Linked DNA regions of Arabidopsis thaliana. Each later gene encodes a partner of the first gene's protein in a complex. Each region holds a gene or a part of one and is shown on either strand. Other genes may lie near its edges. The genes, in order: RRP41 and RRP4.

What was found.
Region 2: RRP41 (region 1) and RRP4 share a complex: the UniProt entries of both Arabidopsis thaliana proteins name them as parts of the RNA exosome complex.

Annotation. Positions count from the first base shown.
Region 1 is NC_003074.8:22,800,673-22,806,273, forward strand, and holds RRP41 (3'-5'-exoribonuclease family protein), read right to left. Parts: upstream 3,433-5,601; 5' UTR 3,163-3,432; intron 2,521-3,162; exon of another isoform or gene 2,409-2,520; 5' UTR 2,350-2,408; intron 2,250-2,349; 5' UTR 2,239-2,249; coding exon 2,185-2,238; intron 2,096-2,184; coding exon 2,049-2,095; intron 1,957-2,048; coding exon 1,896-1,956; intron 1,804-1,895; coding exon 1,762-1,803; intron 1,683-1,761; coding exon 1,618-1,682; intron 1,531-1,617; coding exon 1,452-1,530; intron 1,358-1,451; coding exon 1,321-1,357; intron 1,232-1,320; coding exon 1,029-1,231; intron 945-1,028; coding exon 855-944; intron 758-854; coding exon 710-757; 3' UTR 549-709; downstream 1-548. Other genes in the region: AT3G61610 (Galactose mutarotase-like superfamily protein), read left to right, coding at 1-68, 149-357; CRF6 (cytokinin response factor 6), read left to right, coding at 4,602-5,549. UniProt on the Arabidopsis thaliana protein: Non-catalytic component of the RNA exosome complex which has 3'->5' exoribonuclease activity and participates in a multitude of cellular RNA processing, maturation and degradation events.
Region 2 is NC_003070.9:822,777-826,998, forward strand, and holds RRP4 (ribosomal RNA processing 4), read left to right. Parts: upstream 1-1,740; 5' UTR 1,741-1,876; coding exon 1,877-2,037; intron 2,038-2,114; coding exon 2,115-2,216; intron 2,217-2,325; coding exon 2,326-2,371; intron 2,372-2,476; coding exon 2,477-2,566; intron 2,567-2,645; coding exon 2,646-2,711; intron 2,712-2,810; coding exon 2,811-2,879; intron 2,880-2,968; coding exon 2,969-3,403; 3' UTR 3,404-3,623; downstream 3,624-4,222. Other genes in the region: AT1G03350 (BSD domain-containing protein), read right to left, coding at 58-1,470. UniProt on the Arabidopsis thaliana protein: Non-catalytic component of the RNA exosome complex which has 3'->5' exoribonuclease activity and participates in a multitude of cellular RNA processing, maturation and degradation events.

The DNA.
Region 1 (5,601 bases):
GGTTGCAGTTCTTGATCATGAACGGAAAAGAACATATGTTATCGGAAAGGAAGGACTTCCAGACACCGGTAATAATCGCACAACAACTCGTTTCGATTACTTGTTTGTTGTATATGATATGATTCATTAATCGTGATGGATGGTACAGTGGTGTGGAATCCATGGGAGAAGAAATCGAAAACAATGGCGGATTTTGGTGATGAAGAGTACAAAAGCATGCTTTGTGTGGATGGTGCAGCAGTGGAGAGACCGATCACTTTGAAGCCAGGAGAAGAATGGACCGGCCGGCTAATATTGACCGCTGTTAAATCCAGTTTCTGCTTCGATCAACTCGAACTACAGAGCAAGGGATTCTGACTCTAGTTTCTGTATGCAACATTGGAAGAGCAGAGCCACCGTTTCTTTTATCTCTTTCTTTTTGTTGATTCTTGTTTTATCACATTAGAGCTTATGACCTGGTGATTTCTCAGACCAGTCTTGTGATGTAGTGACAGAAAAAGCCTCTGGTCTTTTTTTTCCTCGGCTTAATGTAAGAATGTGAGGACAAGTTGTGTTCAATCGATTCAGTTTGATCTTTTTACCAAATTGATTCATTTTTCCCAAAAAGAGTTTGCACTACTAGCTTTTTATCCTCAACTTCCACAAACAACAGCAAAATCTAATTAACAAAAATCTTGGAGCTTTACGTTTTTTTCTCTAACTCTAAAGTTTATGCAGCTCGGCGATACTCTAGCTGTTTGGTGTTTTCTTGAAGTACCTTCACAAAGACAGAAGAGCCAAAGACTTAGAAAACAAAGAACGCTTTTCAATGGTGGAAAGGGAAAACTTAGAAAGATTCAGAAGTCCATTGTTACCTCGCGTATTCTCTCTGCAATTGCCTTGCAACCTTCAGAAGCCAATGCAAACACTGTCTCAAATGTTTCCATCGGTAACTTGGCATCCATCTACACATTAAACCCAAACGTAAGCGTCTAGAATCATCTGAATGCGAATGTATAGAAATCTGATATGAAGAGTTGAAGAAAAACCTGAAGGAGTGACACTTTGTCTAATTTAGGTAGAATACCGACGGTTACATCAGCTCCTCCAGCACTGTCTTCAACATAGTTCAGATCAAGAAGAGGAGTACTGTTTAAATATCCAGCACTACAGGAAACAGCGAGATCACGCATTGGAATTCCAGCATCTGCTAGAGCTAGAGTCGCGGCATTGATACAAGCTGATCTTGTTCCTGATTACAGAACATAACACTAATGGCTGATCAGAGATTGAAAGAGATCAAAAGGTCAACTTCAGAACAGAGGTTTAGTTTAATTTTACCTCCATCAGCTTGTAGAACCTGAAGGAAAATATCGATCTGCATAAAGGAAACAATTCATCAGGAAGCAAGCAAAAGGAGGAGGAAGAAAGAAAATTTAGATTTCAATATCGCCGGAGAGTAAAAAGTAAACCTGAGAGTGAGGCATCAATTCGGTTAATATGCAAGCTTCCATTGTCTGACGGATGACAAGAGATAGCTCTGTTGATCGCCTGACCATCATAATACACAACAATTCAAACTTTATGATTTTCGTAAGAAAAAGCAAAGAGTCTCTCAGCTATATAGTAAAATGTAACCTGTCGAATTTCTGTCTTCTACGATCACCAGTACTAAACTGAGCCATACTATACTCACACAACACCTACCAAAACATACAATTAGCAATAAGCATTCCATATTCACCAAGAACAATACTAAACAAGATCAAAGCATATACATACCACTGCATGGTCGTTCTTCTTTTGCTGGCTCTTGTTTTGAATCTGAAGGAGCACATTAACAGAAATAACCAATTCGCTGAATTATACAATTAAAGTATCAATCTTGATAGGTGAGTAACAGAGTAATCAAGTACCTCTCTTGGACCATAAACAGCTGCAATTACTTTGGTATTACCCATCTCGAAGACAGCAGAACTGGAAACAAAGTTGGAATTTTTGTTCATATAAAAGTGCCGAATATAGAACTGAGATACGGAAAAAGATAAGAGACAGATTTTGAGTTTTACCCGTCAGCCTTAGAAACAACTCCAACTTCAGCTACGATTTGCCTCATCTGAGATTCATTACAAGCAATCACGAATAGACCGATTAACTTGTGAAGGCAGTGGCTTACAAAGACAGTGAATAGAGATGCAAACATACCTCGTTGAATCGGCGACCATCTAATCGAAGACCTTCAGGGTTTACGTACTCCATTGTTGTGAACTCTAGGTAGAGATAATCAAGGATGAGAGCAATGAAAGACAGAAACAGAACAAGTTTAATACTTTCTGATCCCACAGAACAGGGAACAAGAGACGAATTTACCTCTGCCAGTACTTTAGCGGCGGCGATATGACGGAGGGCGATGGACGGCGTCGAGAGAACTGAAAGAGTGTCGACAACATAAAGATTAGGGCTTTTTGGTTCCTTTTTGTGAATTAAGTGAGATTTTAAGGGTAAAACCGTCAAATCACAGGAGGATTTTTTTTTATAACTTCTAGTTTATGAAGCCAGGCAAATTGGTAATTCGCTTGCAAAGAAAAGTAAAGCTCAAAATTGCGGGAACATGCATGCAATAAGAGAATTAAGAGTGAGATCCCTTCAAAAGTATAGCTCAAATTGTTGTTGTTTTCTTTTATCAAGGCTTTTCTTGTTGACTCTGTTATTTCAAGTATGTATTAGTAATAGTAATATAGTATCTAGATCAATTTCTAAGTCAATAGTATATTGATAGTAGTATCAACGTGTCGGGAGTTACGTGTGGCAATGCCGACAAATGAATGCAAAGTGAGGTATATGAAAATGACGGGTTCCTGACGGAGGAGATGATGGAATTATTTACTAAGGTTTGCTAACATCTTCTTTTTTTATGTATGTATGTTTGGATCAAAAAGTATACAAAACCATATTAGACAATTTAAGAGAGACCACTCTCTAGTCTCTACCTAGTAAAAGTAGTACCTACTACGACTATCCTAACGAATGTCATGCAATTTAATGTTCCATATACAATTTTTTTTTTTTTAATATATTAAAAACAACCCAATAGGGCATGGGCTAAGACCCAATACACAGATGAAATCCAGTTACAAAATAGGTTAAACAGAAAAAGTCACCGACAAACAAAGAGGTTCGAACCTTGCTGCTGGTCGGAAGCAGAGTGGTCGGAGCCTTATATCTGGCGGACTCAAGCATCACAGCTTTGCGGCCGCAGACGACGGATCGAGAAACGCAGCTGGAAGATTCCGGTTTCCATCTGCACCTATCTCCGCCGTCGCACCAACCCACCACAACTCTCCCAGAAAGCTAACCACTCCGACTTACCGGTTCCGCGATATCTGTTCCATGCCAAGCAACCCGATACACTAGAGTTTAACCCCTCTCCGACTTAATGTTCCATATACATACTACTAACTATTATTAAATCAAACTGACTGTTATTTTTAAGGTCTAACTTTTAACACGAGTACCTGACTAATCCCACGTAAAAAAAAAGTCTTGAAATCACATGTATCTTTTTATAAAATCACAGGTGAATTCGTGTAAGTTATATAAGGTTCAAAATAAAACAATATAGAATTACTGTAAGTTACAAGATTTGGTATATTAACTTGTAGAATTATCGATATAATAAAAGCTTATTTTTCAATTATTATTTTAGGACCAAATCTAGTCAAAGCTCAACCATTAACTATGGAAATCTAATTTCTAGTTACCTTTTTAATAGTAGCTTTTTCTAATAAAGTTTCTGATAAGAGACTTGGTCTCCAAGCAAAAGATCATAAATTTTTTCCGAAATTAAAAATATATTTTAATATTAAAGACGAGATTTTATTACTCTTTCAAACACATCGTTAGATTCATTACCATTAAACTTCACAATTTCCATATTGGGTCAATGCGAATTGACACATACTCGTGACCAATCTCACACGCGTGGAGCCCACTAGCCGGCGCGTGTAGCAAACGTAAAACAGACCGCGCGTAAAAGAGTTAAAAGTTGCTTGGAGACCAAGCTATAGATTAGGACAATTGGCTCTACTTTCGGTACGGTAACTACCACGTGTCATAAATCTAACGTCTCAATCTGAGATGCGGAAAGCCGTTTCTGGATCCCCCATTGGCCGCCACGAAACCGCCCTTAAGCATCGTCCCTCTTTACATTAAATCCAAATCTAATTCCCGGTTTATAAACTCCATTAACCGGATTAAATTTCAATAGGTTAAGCTTTGATAAACGTATGTCATTTCACCAACTATATTTTAAGATACGTTTAGTTATAAGGTTGAATGAGTTTTGATTGGGTCAGTGTCTCATATCATATGAATAGTGTTGAACACGCATCAATTTCTCTGTAACAGTTAAAATCTAATTAAATTAATTACATAGAAAAAATCACGTTACTAAACAAAAATCTCCAAAAATAGTGATGAGTTAATAGTATTTAAGAAGGATGTTCCTGAGAAACGGCGATTCTTCTTTAACCTTTTGACTCTTCTTCTCTCTCTCTCTGCAAATTCAAAACAGTGAAAAAAACCTCTCTTCATTTTTTAACTCCCTCTCTCTCTCTCTCTCTATGGAGAGACGAACGAGACGAGTGAAGTTCACAGAGAATCGTACGGTCACAAACGTAGCAGCTACACCATCTAACGGGTCTCCGAGACTGGTCCGTATCACTGTTACTGATCCTTTCGCTACTGACTCGTCTAGCGACGACGACGACAACAACAACGTCACGGTGGTTCCAAGAGTGAAACGATACGTGAAGGAGATTAGATTCTGCCAAGGTGAATCTTCTTCCTCCACCGCGGCGAGGAAAGGTAAGCACAAGGAGGAGGAAAGCGTAGTGGTTGAAGATGACGTGTCGACGTCGGTGAAGCCTAAAAAGTACAGAGGCGTGAGACAGAGACCTTGGGGAAAATTCGCGGCGGAGATTAGAGATCCGTCGAGCCGTACTCGGATTTGGCTTGGGACTTTTGTCACGGCGGAGGAAGCTGCTATAGCGTACGATAGAGCCGCGATTCATCTCAAAGGACCTAAAGCGCTCACGAATTTCCTAACTCCGCCGACGCCAACGCCGGTTATCGATCTCCAAACGGTTTCCGCCTGCGATTACGGTAGAGATTCTCGGCAGAGCCTTCATTCACCGACCTCTGTTCTAAGATTCAACGTCAACGAGGAAACAGAGCATGAGATTGAAGCGATCGAGCTATCTCCGGAGAGAAAGTCGACGGTTATAAAAGAAGAAGAAGAATCGTCGGCGGGTTTGGTGTTCCCGGATCCGTATCTGTTACCGGATTTATCTCTCGCCGGCGAATGTTTTTGGGATACCGAAATTGCCCCTGACCTTTTGTTTCTCGATGAAGAAACCAAAATCCAATCAACGTTGTTACCAAACACAGAGGTTTCGAAACAAGGAGAAAACGAAACTGAAGATTTCGAGTTTGGTTTGATTGATGATTTCGAGTCTTCTCCATGGGATGTGGATCATTTCTTCGACCATCATCATCACTCTTTCGATTAAAAATCTCTTCTTTTTTGGGGAAATTTTTGTGTGGTGATGATGACGTGGATAC
Region 2 (4,222 bases), on another chromosome or scaffold:
TAAAAACAAGTAAAAGGATTGGCAAAAGTAAGAAAGCACACCACTTTAAAACTAACATTAAGCTTTGGATGATGATGATTCTTCTTCGTCATCTTCATCAATGTCCCAACTTAAATCTTCATCTTCCTCTGCAGCACTCAGACGTTTACGCAGCTCAGCTCTGTTTGGACTACCACCAGACCGACTCGTTTCCTTACCATCTATGCTACTCATATCCTCGATCTCGTCCCATCCCAAATCCTCTTCAGATGGTTGTTGAGTTGATGAAGAAGCAGCCACATCTGGTTTAGCTGAGTCTTGGGATGGAGCAGCCTCATCAGATTTTGGTTTGACAGAATCTTGGATTGGAGCCTCATCAGATGTTGGTTTGACAGAATCTTGGATTGGAGCCTCATCAGACGCAGGAGGAGCAGCATCAACAAATGATTTTTCTTCTGGAACTTCCTCACTATCAGTCTCCTTCTTTTCCTCAGAATCTTTATCTGTCTTCAAACCAACATTGCTCACTTCAGTCACTGAATCTGCACTTGTCACTTCATCTTGCGTGCTCACTTTAGCCACTGAATATGTACTTTCCACTTCATCTTTCACAGTTTCACTCACATCTCCACCACCCATACCATCATTCCCTTCAAGTTTCAACCTTGAAACATCTTTGGTAGCTTCAACAACTTTCTCGCTGCTCTCCTCTTCATCATCAATATCCCAGCTCAATTCTTCTTCATCATCCAGAGAGATGGCTCGTTTCACAAGATTAGCCCTTAAATCCTCAGCTTGCTTGAGCTTGTTAACCCTATAGAAATACCTAAACCAGAAGGTCTCGTGATCAACCATACTCGGAACGACCCTTTTATACACTCCTTTCATATCACCATTTTCCTCCAACAATTTCTCCATCTCCTCAGCTTTTCCATCCAGAGAAAACGCAGATTCCCACTTTTTGTAATCATCTGAATCCTCAGGCTCTTCACAGTAAGTGTTGAGATCTCCTTGAACAGCACGAATCTGAGCATCGAAACGACTATATGGTTTCGAACTGAAGCTATCACGACGACCAAAACTCTGACTACTATTGTTATCAGAAGAATCAGATTCATTACCAGCGGCTAAAATCGCTTCCTTACCTTGAGCAATAATCTCAGCCGTACCTTTTAGCACCGTGTTCCCAAGCTCATCAATCGCATGTCCCACCGTACCAAGCGATCCCTGAGCCACCTCGATCTCTTTCTTCAAACCTGTGCCAAATTCTTCGAGATCTCGTCGGTAGGTTTCAATCACGGATTCGGATCTGGTGGCTAGAGTTTTCATCAGACCACCGAAGCTCCATCCACCGTCGTCGTTAGATTCAGATTGCTCTGGATGTTCTTGCTCTGGATGTTCATGCTCTTCGCTGTGTTTCGGTGAATCGGATTCGGATTCGGTTTCTGGAGGATCTAGGTCTTCCGTGAAGACGGATTTGAAGAAATTCATAGCGTAAAGCTCAGATCTTACCAATCGGTACTCTCAGATAATTTGTTTGATCCGTGAAAGAATCAATTTGAAGAGTGAAGGATTCGAATTAGCGTCAGAAATAGGAAGATCACAAAAGACTTGAAGCTTGTCGCTGCAGAGACGTCTAATTTTTTTCCCATTTTTTTAATGAAGATAAATAATACTTTATTTGGCGTCAATTATCAGATTAATGGGCCAGAAGTTTTATAAATGGGCCAGAAGTTGGATATGTTAGTCCAACAAATAACACAAAACCCTAGAATTCATTCAAGGGAACTAACGTCAAGGTTTTTGCTCTTCTTCTCTCCCAAGTCCCAAACTCGTTTTGCATCGCCATTGTTGTGTTGCTGGAGCTAAATAGAGAGAAAGAGAGAGAGTGTCTGTGATGGTGATGAGAAAGCTACAGTTACCGTTGAGCCAGACGCAGAAGGTTAGGTTTGAGAGAGCAATCGAGCGGCTTCAATCACTGTCGTCGTCGGCTAACTCTGACGCTTCTGTTATCGTCACCGACTCTATTCCCGTCAACCATGACGATGCCTTCCTCAAGTAATTTCATCTCATTCTCCCTTCTGGATTGAAATTTTTGTCAAATTGCGTTTTCACGATTGGTTTTTTCATTAAAGGGGACATGGAACTTCCGAGGTCGATGGTGAGTTGCTCGCGACGGTCTGTGGAGTAGTGGAGCGTGTGGATAAGCTTGTCTATGTACGCACCTTGCGAGCCAGGTCTGTGATTGATCTTTGAATTTGTTTAGTTTCCCAGAAAATGTGAATAGAATGGACTCTCTACTCTGAGATTAAGTAGAACTGATGGTTTTGATGATCTACGTTTTAGGTACAAGCCTGAAGTTGGGGATATTGTGGTAGGCCGTGTCATTGAGGTAGATTTTTGTTTTGGTGTTTGGATTTTTGAAATCGGATTGAGTGAGTAACATAAAGGTTTCAATCACATTGCACAGTTACTGGATTGATCTTTACTTATTCAGGTTGCTCAAAAACGTTGGAGAGTGGAGCTCAACTTCAATCAGGATGGAGTACTGATGCTTTCTTCCATGAACATGCCTGATGGTATTCAGGTACAGTTTGATTCTTGATATTTTGCCATTTGGATGATTGCTTTTGGCTTCAATGATATAAGTTTATTGTTGTTGCCAGAGGCGAAGAACCTCTGTGGATGAACTCAATATGCGGAATATCTTTGTAGAGCATGATGTCGTATGTGTAAGTCCTGTGATTAGTAATGTTCCAATCTTTACATATCTTAACAGTTACGTCAACCTGACTAAAAGGGTTCCCTCTTTGGTTTGTTCAAACTCTTAGGCTGAAGTACGCAACTTTCAGCATGATGGTAGCTTGCAGTTACAAGCCAGAAGTCAGAAGTATGGCAAGGTTGGTTCTCATTTGGTCACATGCTCATGTAGTTATACCTTTCGCTAGTCTCTTCCTCTGAACATTGATTAATCCATGAATCGCTACAGCTCGAGAAGGGACAACTTCTGAAGGTCGATCCTTACTTGGTTAAGAGAAGCAAACATCACTTTCATTACGTAGAAAGTCTTGGGATTGATTTGATTATTGGCTGCAATGGTTTCATATGGGTTGGAGAACATGTCGAAGTGAGAGATCCTATGGCAATAGATGATCAGAAAGATGAGGAAATGATCTCATCCTCCTCCACAGGAAAAGAGCAAAGCCATATTCCACTCGAGACTCGACAAACCATATGCAGAATCGGGAATGCGATACGTGTCTTGTCTAATCTAGGCTTCACCGTGACACTAGAAGTAATCATGGAGACTGTTAACCTCAGTAACTCAAAGAATATTGACATACATGATATGCTTGGATCAGAGTTTCACGTTGTGGTAGCAGAGAATGAAGCTGAAAGAAGACGTACAAAGAGGAAAAAGTGAAAACTACCCCTTTTTGTCACTGATGTATCAGAGACTTGTAACGTGTATTAGATCATTCGGTCTTGTTTGTTACTCAGCTTCTATTGAAAGTTCGAATTTTAATCTGATTGAGATATGTAGTATGATGGATGTGTTTGATACTATTAACTGTACATCAGATTAGATTAGTCGAGTTATGTCTTTTGGAGACGGCTTTCTTCTTTCATTCATGAATTTATCGGTTTCGACTTTTGTAGCTGAAATTCGTTTTGTGAAAGGATCTACAGTTGCAGAAACAACATAGAAAAGATTCGCTGCCCTTTTTAGCTCGGAGAAGGGATAATTGGGAAATGACTAAAATACCCTCATGAGAATCCAAGTAATAACAGCGATTACCAAACCTCTTCTCTCATTCACGAAACAGTGTTCTACGGCCAATTTCTCTCGCTCGCTCCACACTCCCAAAACAATATTCTTCTTCTTCGATTTCTCACTCTCTGTTTGTCGCTACCGATCTTATTTCCCGCTATTTTTGTTCCGGCGCCGTTCTCCTTAAAGTCGCTATTGTCTTCGTTGAAGGTCAGTTTACGGCCTTTTTTAAATCCATTTTGGTGTATTCGTGATTGTTTGTGGGTTGAATGATCGTGCGATTATTTGGGGTTTTTAATTAATTTCGATTCAGTAACGGTTCTGAATTGCATTGCGATTAAGCACTTAATCAGAAAGTAGTACGCTTTAGATTTGAGGAATCTCTGTACATTTACTAGGCAAAAAGTTTACTTTTTTTTTTTGGCGTATTTCTGGGATTGCATTAGTTAGGCGATTGAATCACGTTTCTGA